2 linked regions of the Drosophila melanogaster genome follow. The protein of the gene in region 1 interacts with the protein of each later gene in a pairwise test. Each region holds a gene or a part of one and is shown on either strand. Other genes may lie near its edges.

What was found.
Region 2: the proteins of X11Lbeta (region 1) and rst interact in a two-hybrid assay, tested with the Drosophila melanogaster proteins (one study listed by BioGRID).

The regions. Positions count from the first base shown.
Region 1 is NC_004354.4:10,627,724-10,632,629, forward strand, and holds the start of X11Lbeta (X11Lbeta), read left to right. Parts: upstream 1-1,593; 5' UTR 1,594-1,692; intron 1,693-2,450; exon of another isoform or gene 2,451-3,665; 5' UTR 3,666-4,085; intron 4,086-4,906.
Region 2 is NC_004354.4:2,970,554-2,975,663, reverse strand, and holds the start of rst (roughest), read left to right. Parts: upstream 1-1,829; 5' UTR 1,830-2,263; intron 2,264-5,110. UniProt on the Drosophila melanogaster protein: Required for correct axonal pathway formation in the optic lobe and for programmed cell death in the developing retina.

The sequences.
Region 1 (4,906 bases):
TTTTAGTTTCAGTGTGTTCTCAGCATTTGGAGCACTTCGTTTAACCAATACGGTGCGCACACAAACACGCCAAAAACGCCAATTAAACAGATATACGATAATAAACAATATTATTTAAAACCTAACCGAATTTGTGTAAAAATCGTGGATATTAAGGGCGTTTACGGTAAATGTAAACGATTTAATTTCAATACATTCTTCCGAATTTGTCTTCGATAATTAGAGACTTAAATTAAATTTCCCCCGAAAATTCTGCGGCCCATAAACGCGCGCGTGTTCGCCTGATTTGCCAATGTGTTCGTGCGTGTTTCTTTTATGTGTGTGTGTCACTGTATGTTCCCTATGTGGGTTGTTGTGCGAGTGTGTGGCTGAGAGAGTACTTATTATGTAAAGTGCTCATCTTATTGACAGTTGTCAGTGGCTAGTTGCGCTGATTTCCGTGCCGATTGCCTTTGACCAACTGCCAAAGTCGGATGGCTTCAATTTGCTAATTAATCGAGTGCGAACGCACTTAAGTATGCTCCAGCGTTTAGCGCACGCACACACATGTACAAGCATATTGTGTGTGTCTATTTTAGTAGCAACATGTCTTTGGCAATCGTACCATATTCAAGCAAGAGAGAAAAGAGAGAATGAGAAAGTTTGGAAAGAGCCCTCACAATTTACAAATTTTTATTATTTTGACTTTCCTCTTCACCCTTGTCATCGTGCAAGCGTTCTTTTGCCCTTCGAAATGTCAAAATATTGCAGACAAAAGTCTGTGCTCTGCACAACATTGCCAGTCTGAAATACTTCTTCCGTTAGTCACATGTTTCCAACAAGCTGTCAAGCTGTAAAGAAAATTTGATGGTAGTGCATGGTGTCCTGTGCAACATATCTGAATGTATTCATTAAAAATAGCAGGCGATATTTTAAATCTTGTTTCATTAATTAATTGTGTACATATTTATTTGCTTTCTGCTTTGAATTGACATTGCCAGACTAAAATTGAATGTCAATTCAAATTGACCGCCACTTGTCGCGTTCCCCACATGCGCCACTCTCGCTCTCTTTAATTTTCTCCTTCCCTCTCTTGTTCTCTCTGTTGACTATGGGAAACAGTTAGGTTAACATACATAAGTTCTGTTAACTTTGGTAGCTTAACACTTGTACCCTTTGCGTATTATTAACCCATAAGTAATTCGAACTTAACTTTATGACATATAATGTATATGTTTAAAAAACAGTCTTTGGATTTGGAGAAAGACGTTTCATTTGTATTCTTTAAGTTTTGCTAATTATTTTTACGTAATTATTGATTGTAACTATTTCAAGGAAAGTAATTTTTGTCTTAAGGGAGAAGAGGAACTATTTTTTTTTTTGAATGAAGTTCTTTCATCGTCTAGGACTAAAATACAAACAGCTGAATCAATGATATTAAGTAAAGCAGATGTCACGGATGTAGTGCAGTTAAGGGTTAACCTTAACATCATCCCGCTGTTGCGTTAACAGCGCGTAACGGGACTGCCGCTCTCTTTGTCCAGCCCCCCTCCGATCGACCAACACATAGACAGCGCTCAGTTGCTGGTCTTGTTTGGCTTGGTTTAGTTTTAGTCCTTCTTTGAACGTGCTGCCGACGAGTCACGAATTCGCAAGGCGTACGCATGGGATACCGACTCCCCACTCTTCCAGTCACATACTTTTTTTTCCAGTGTTTGTGCGCCCAGTGTGCGTGTGCGAGTGTGCGTGCGCGTAGATGTGTGTGTTTTGATGAGTGTGCAAACAGCAGGAGGAAGCGAAATAAGAAATAACACAAACCCACGCTTAATATGTATTATTGTACTCAACCTTCTGGCCATTTGCATGTGATGCGAAGCTATGTGCTTACAGCTGTTTAATTGATTCCCCGATTGCAACTCTTCGCGATCTCCGCTTTCGGTTTTGAGTTGTCCCGTTGAACCGCTAACTGTTTAACCGTTAACCGATTTGCCGTCCTGTGTGCTTGTCGCTCTGTCAAAGTGTGTGTGTGTGTGTTTATTTTGTCTTCTTTTAGTTAATTCATCGTGTAGTTTCTCGTTTTTTTTGCTGTTTCTCCTGACAAGTGATATTGCTCTCTCGCTCTGAGTCAGCAGCGCCTGTCAAGCGGAGGGTTGTTTTTTTTTCCCTGGCCAGCCGCTCCCCCTCAATCACCGCACCCACCCCCTTCGCTCAACTTTTGCGCCACGTTGCCTTCAAAACTTCATTTCCAACCACTTGCCGTCGCCGTCGACGTCATCGCAGCCATACAACAAACCACCGAGACACCACCCCCACCAGCACCCCCCCTCATCTGATCCCGGTGTCATTGGCACTCGCTTACAGTTTGTTTAGTTTGCTTTTAAGTTGTGCGTTGTCTGCAAAATGATAAAACAAAGTATATAATAATAAGGACCAAGGGGCATGGCAAATCAGTTTACGTTAATTTTGTTTTCGTACTGCCCAAATAGAAAGAAAACCAATGCAAATACAAGACAATAAGTGAACTGAGAACCGCTGAACGCTAAGGAAAAAACAAAAACCCAAAGAAATAAAATAAACGTTGCACCCACCACCGCCTCACGCTCACCGCTCGCCCGCTAGTTTAAAGCTAATGCCACCGCCCACCACCACTAGAACTACTACTTCCACCACAACCACTAGTACCACCACCACCAAGAACCACAACCACCAACTACCAGCCTCGATCTGAACCACTTCGCAATCAAATAACAAGAAAAGAGTTAAATGTAAAAGAAAGAAAGGCAGAGTCCAGATTCCGAGTCCACTTGTCCAAAATGTCGTCAAATGTTGAAAAATGTGAGCTCCACCAAAAAAATGCATTACTAGATGTGTTCGTTCCCGTAATATGTGCATTTAGCATCCCTCTAGAACCTCTAGCGTAGCTCTATCTATTTCCTCGATAAAAAATCAAAAGACGTAGCGCCCATTCTCTATTAAAAAAATAAAAATAACTTAATAACTTACTAAGCAACCATAGAATCATTACCCGATTTGTCTTGCCATTTTTACCACTTTAGATCTAGACTGTTGACAACTATTAAAAATAAACCACACTCATTTTTGTTTTATACTAGCAAATAAGAACTATAACTATACTTTATATCGGTCTGCCTCTCTCTTTCTCACTCTATCTCTGTCTCTGTCTGTCGCTCCATCTCTGTCTGTCTTTCTTGTTCTGTCTAGTTAACATGCCTTGAATCGAACTTTTATCCACTCTGTTAACTTCTCCTGCCTAAGAAAACAAACTTTCCCACTCGAGTCCTTGAAATTTGGGAAGACCGACTGAGAATAACATCTGAAAAAGTGAAGTTCTCAAGATGGTTCCTGTGCGTTGGCACTCGTTAAAACTTCCACTGATTGGCTGGAGTCCCGATTGTAAATAGAAGCCCCATTTCTACCAAATCCTTGAGTTTCTATTAGATGTTCAACCATTGCCTGCTTCTTAACCAACCTGCATGCTCGAGAAATCATCAAATAACTAAAGATTATCGATTTATAATTTGAGAATGTTGAACACACACAGACACACACACATAATGATTGGGTCGATCGGTGGATCAAAATTACACATTCTATTGTACGTTATCCCCGTAAAGTTACATAATATCCGTTCCATTCCGTTTCGTTTCGTTTCTCGTTCCTCGTAGTTCCCAAGTTCGTTTGATGCGTTCGTTCCATCGTTCCTTCGTTGTGTTTGCCAAGTTAAATTTTGTTGTACTCGAATTCCCAACTGGCCAACTAAACCAGAGTTGGAATTCGCAATTGGCAGCCAGAAGCCAAAACTGAACAGAAAACCAAACAGCAGCTACCAGAAACAAACAACAATATAAATTAAACCTTAACCCAATCTAAATATATATATATTTATATATATATATATTCTTCCAAACCTAAAGTGTGTCTAATCACCAATTCTTAACGTCAAATTCTCTTTAAACTAAATAATCCACACACGAATCACACAAACCAAAAACCGAAATCAAAACCAAATAATCGAATCGAAATCGAAATCGCAGACCCAGGCAAAATTCGCATTGACCACCAAGCATATGAGCTTGTGGCTAAAGGTAAGCTATGAATAGTCAATATTTCAATGTTTATTTGTGAAAGGAAATCCGTTAAATGGAGAGATTATTACTATCAATTCGGCTGCAGTGCAGTGTTATGAAACATTTAAATTAAATGATTAGCTTTAATGATTTACACGCCTAAAGTTTAAGGTATACGAGTTTATGATATTTTGGAGTTGTGTAAATCGAATACTTTACACAGCAATGGCTTCAAGGATCTTTTCATAGAACATCTGCTAACAAACAACTGTTAATGAATATCCACGGCATCTATAGTTTTTATTGACTTTCCATAATGAACTGAACTCTTCTGAATAAGCCATGAATAATTTCCACTGCTGCCCTTATTAATAAACCCTTTAAAGCCTCAGCTGGTCGTTAAAACGGTGCAGCAGTCGCTAGTCTGGGAAATCCCCGATTGGCTCAAGGGAAATTCCCTCTAAATTATTATCTACGGTCCCTTCCTGGTTCCGCATTGATTTGTCGCATGTCCGGATGTTGTACGTTCCTGCCCCTCACACATCTTGCCACATGCAACTATTCATTTTCAATTATCCTGTTAAATTAATGCCTTGTACTACTCGTCTGGCCCATTCTCGACTTCCTTTCCCAGCTGCCAGCGCATCATACCCACATATCCTTTGTCTGCGGCATGATTCAGCTCAGCTCAGCTCAGCTATCTGTGAAAAGTTTGTTTTTTTCGCCCGTTGCTTTTGTTGCTGCTGGCCTGGCGACAATTTCAACGGCAGACGGCGGCTTGGCTCTAAAATATTGGTTATTAGCATAGCCCGGGGGTGTTTGAGGTATAAACAGGGGGG
Region 2 (5,110 bases), 7.7 Mb from region 1:
TTGTATAGATTCCATGAGTTTATATATTTGAAAAGAAAAAACCACAAATTAGCTATAACAAATTTGTTTGGGGTTAAAAAGGGTGTGCGTGATAGGGGAGCTATCTGAAATATTTAAGGACAAAACTTGTGCATGCATTTCGATTTTATTGGTAATATAGTGTTTCAAAATGCTGCAACAGAAATCCTATCTTGCGAATGGAATTTATGGGATCTGGCTATGAACCTTCTTATCGAGAAAGGCTTTTTGTTATAGTTTGTTGGGGTGTTTATAAACAATTTTGGACTACGCATATGTAGAGGAAATGCCCTGACTATGCAACAACGTTCGCCTTATCTTTCGTCTTTGTGTAAATTTAGAGCGCAATGCATTGATATTCCCATACGGCGGCCATAAATTACATGACAATTACTTGGGGAGCCGAAGAAAATCAGCGGTGCTTGGAAAATCCCCCCTCGAAAAGGCAAGCAATGCGTGGAAAGAGGCGCGAAGAGAGAGCGGAAAATTGGAAGAGAGCCGACACTTCATCACTCGCTCCGAATTTTCCGATTTTCCGGCGGTGCCTCCCTCACACGCGTAGTTTAAATTGCGTTCGCAGCAATCGTGCCATAAATTTCCCTTCCGAAACTTGTTTATTTTGGTCTTGCATGTCTCCAGTGCCGAAATCTTCCCATCCAACAGTCCATCTTCATCGCTGGTAGTATCTTTGTATCTTTTGTATCTCCCTATCTCTCGTGGAGCGCACAGCTTGTGTATCGATTCAATTATGGGAAAACTTAGAATCAACTCATCATGCAGTCGATTGATTAACAAGTCGCACCTAGTAAAATGGCTCCCACAGTGTTTGAGTTTTCAGCTGAGCTTGGCTTTACTACAAGTGTGACATTTGAAATGTTCTTAAGCCAACTAAAATTATGCATGCAGCAAAAAGCGCAGGAATGTTGGCACTTCAAAAAAGGGCTGCTTAATGTAAAAATTAAGCTAATTTAATGATAAATTAATAGCTTCTTTTTGAAAATCATGTTAAACACTTCTCTGTGTGGTTCCCATGGGATTTCCGCCGTTTTGTCAAGCCACAGATTTGGACTTTTTACTCAAATTGCTCTGTAGAGGACCATATGTCGCTCTTCACAGCCCTTCTGGCATTCCACAATCGGAAGAAAGACTGCAGATTTCTACCAAAACGGGAAGAATTGTGGGTGCGAAGAAGGAGGAGAGATTGGTGAACAGCTGCTGTCCCGACAGCATTGACCTCTTGACGGCCAATTCTCCTACTTTATCTCAATCTGCAGTGTTTAAAGGGTTTATACTTTATGTGATCTTTTTTTTTTTGTTTTTTATCTTCTCCGGCAACAGTTGGTGGTCCACACTTTTGGCGGAAGGTGGCGCTGCTAACAGCAAATCAGAGTGCAATTAAGGCCAAAAGACAGATGGCCAAAAATCGTGGCACATCGGCTGGCAATATCCCCAAATTTGCGTGCACAGAAACAAAAAAGATATGTATAGCGAACACTAAATTGATTCGTATAAATAATTTATAATATTTTTTAATATAATTTATACATTGCATCTGAAAACTTATAGTAAATATATGATATGAAAACATATATCCCATATATATGGGAATTTAAAAAAACATTGGCTGCCAAACATAATCCAAATGAATAACAACATAGAACAGAGGTTGCATCGAGCCGCGCTGTTAGCCCTGTTGCATGCTGTTAGAGCCTGAAACACCACTTGCAACATCATCGAACATGTTGCGTCGCTTTGTTTTGTTTGAAGACAAGCCGCGCCGGCCGAAGAAGTCGGATTTTTGGATCGAGTTCGCACTTCGTTCCGTTCGCTCGTACCGTTCGCTTCGTAGCGGCGGAAACTCCGTACTTTCGATAGCTGGTATCTCACAGATACTTTTCGAGACCCCGAAGACGAGAACTCGCATCGCATATTCGCCCGAGAAAACTCTCAGTAAATCTCAGATAATTAAAACGAAATATATAACTAAACGTCAATTTTTTTTTTGGTGCAAACGCAAGCCAAAAAATTTCATTTTGGTGTGGATTACCAGTGGAAAAGTGTGTGCTTAAAATGGAATAAACAAGGCTATCATAAAAACAAAGCCCGAAAAACCAAACAAGCTGAAAATTGTCAACCCAACAATTATGGATTAGTGCCAGTGGCCGGTCAGAGTCAGTTAAAAATATATATGCATATAAGAGGACTAAGGAGCCGAAATTGTTTAAATTGATTACAAACAAACAGTGTGAGTAAAAAAGTTCATCAGTAAAATCTAAAGAAAACTCCTGTGCTTTTGGCTTTTTTCATGCGCCAACTGCAACAGCTGCTCCCTCACTTTGACCTTTTCGTTTGATTTTGTTTATAATATACTGTTACTGGCCAAGTCTCCGCCTCTTTTGGCCCCTCAAAAGTTTCGCTTTTGGCCACTTTGGCATTTGGATTTCGAGTTTGCTTGAGTGTATTTTTTTTTTTTTCGAAGAAAATATATGTGTTTTTAATTGAAAATGGAAGCATGATTTTTGGTTGTAAGTAGACTTTGTTAAAGCAAAATTTATATTTTCCTTTCTGCCTAATGAAATGCCCAATGGCAAGTACTAGTTGCTGAAAATATTAAAATGTAATAAAATATAAAATAAATTAAATTACCATCTTTCGAATAACGTTTAGATCTTATCAATCTGAAAATGAGGTTTATTATACAAAATCTATGTTAAGTTGTATATCACAGATATACTTTCCCCTCTACAATAATAGATCTTCAACTCCAGACCTTGGACACCTAATTAGCTTCTTCTGACCATTCCATCCCTCTGAGCATCTATAGAAAAAAGTGCTCTTCTTAACTGATTCGATCTCTTCTTTCCTTGGTTTTGCATGATTTATGATTTAAAGCAATAACTTTGAAAAACAAAATGTACAAAGCTAGTCAACGATTAGGCATTTCGTAAGCACTTAAGTTGAAAAATTAATATTAAATGTATAGAATGATTTTTTGTTCGTATACAAGTATGTACACAAACAAAAAATCTACTTGAATATATGCTAAACAATGCTAAAATCATTCTGAATAATTTACGGCAAACGATAAACTTTAATGAGTATAACATTCAACTTCAAGTTTTAATCTACATAATAGGCAATGTATATTAAATGTGCGCTTTGGTGTAATTCTTTAATGCGTATATTTATTTATAACATTCGAATGGTATACCTATTTCAATGGTTTATTTCTGACATTTATGGATTAATTCATTTGGTTTTAAGTAAATAAATTTGCAAATACATTTAATTCCTTTTGTCATTGATTAAGTGAAATGCCAGTAATTCGACTCTCTTATTGACACATTCAAAAATCATAAATCAATTATTCCAAATCCAATAGAAATTTATTTATTACTCATAAAATTTTTCTCTGTGTAACTCCCCCCAGCTGTAAGCGAAGAAAATGTTGCTAGCGGCTGTGGTGTTAAAGAACAGAAATGCGAGCTAAAGAAGCTGAAGGCCCAGAAGCTTTACCAATACATCGATACATTGCACACAGATACTCAAACATCTGCAAATGCATATACAAGCGTATCTTCAGACTCACGCACCTGTCCCTTGTCATTAAAAAAGCAAGCAAAGTTTCAATCTTCTTTGGCAAGCTAACCTTTTACTTACTCTGCTCCATCCTCTGGGTTCATATATGTCGCATGATAAACACCGGAAAAATATTGATTGGCTGGGAGATTTGCTAAAGCACGATTAAGAAAACTAGTCTCAAAAAAAGTTAGTCTTTGACCAGAAAAAGTATTTGTTCTTTTTTTTTTTAATTGAAATTAACTTATTTTCATACTTATTTATCTTGATTGAAGCTCCTATAAATTCATTTTGAATAACGTTATTAAGTTTTTTGGTTTGAAAACAAAAAGAAAAAATATTTTTAAAGTGTATTTGGGAACGTGTGTGTAGCTTTTGGATTTTATAATTTGGCCCAATTTGCTGGCATTGCAAATTGCTAAAAACGTCTGAAACAATCGACAGGAGGAAATTGGGGAGTGTGGGAAAAGGATGGCAAAAGAGGCGTTCGGTAGGCGTGGCAGGAAGTGCAACATGCTCATGTCGCAAGTTGTTGCTGCCGCCTGTATTTCTCCTGCACTTTTTGTTGCTGTGTTATCGATTGGCGAGGCCGCATTTGTTGGATCGTTTTGACGCGTCCTCGTCAGCATGTCGAAACTTATTTTTCCTTTTCAATTTCGCCCTGCGATTTTGCATTTTTTTTGTTTTTTTTTTTTCGCCTGCCTGTCGCTTTGTTAGTTCTTTGCATGCCACAAATTATGTTCGTCACCCCCTTTTGCCCCACCGCGCTGGATGGATTACCTTGAGAGCGGAGCTGTCAGGCTTTTTGACAGTTTCTGCCGTATCGGTTCCACCGATTTGACTGCTGCGCTCATCCGTTTTGCCTGTTTTTTTTTTTTGTTTAAGAAAGTGCTTCGTTTAATGAATAATTGGTATTTTATATCATTTAGGTACAATAAGAAAAGACTTATTGCCTGGTATTTGCATCTGCCAGCTAATTTCTCATCTCATCTCTAAAAAGAAATGCAGACGAGGGCATTCGAAAGGCAAGCAATTTATCCCTTGGTTAATTTGGTTAATTGAAGACAATTGAGGGCCGCTTTGCAGTTCATTAAGCCTCATCAGCGTTGAGAAATGGGGCCCAGAATCCAGAAGTCCAGAAGTCCGAATCCCAGATCCAGTTCCATCTATACTTTCCATTTCCAGATCTGTTGTCTTGTCGCCAGACTAATTAAAATATTTGCACTCAAATGCTTAAGCAATAAATATTTGTCAAGCCATCATCATTAGGAGGAGGCTATAAGGGGGGGGGGTTCTGACCTCAAAACATGGCACTCCACTTTCTGGGGTGGGGGCAAAATGGAAATGGAAAATGAAAATCTATGAGAGGCGGCATTTTTAAAGTGCGCCACTTTGGCCTGCATTTTTGATGAGCTTTAATGGCGCCGCCTTAATGCAAGTGAAGCATGCAGGGTGTGGGGTTGGGGATCGGTTTCGAGGGGGGGGGGGGGGTTGGGGGTTGGGAAACACCCCG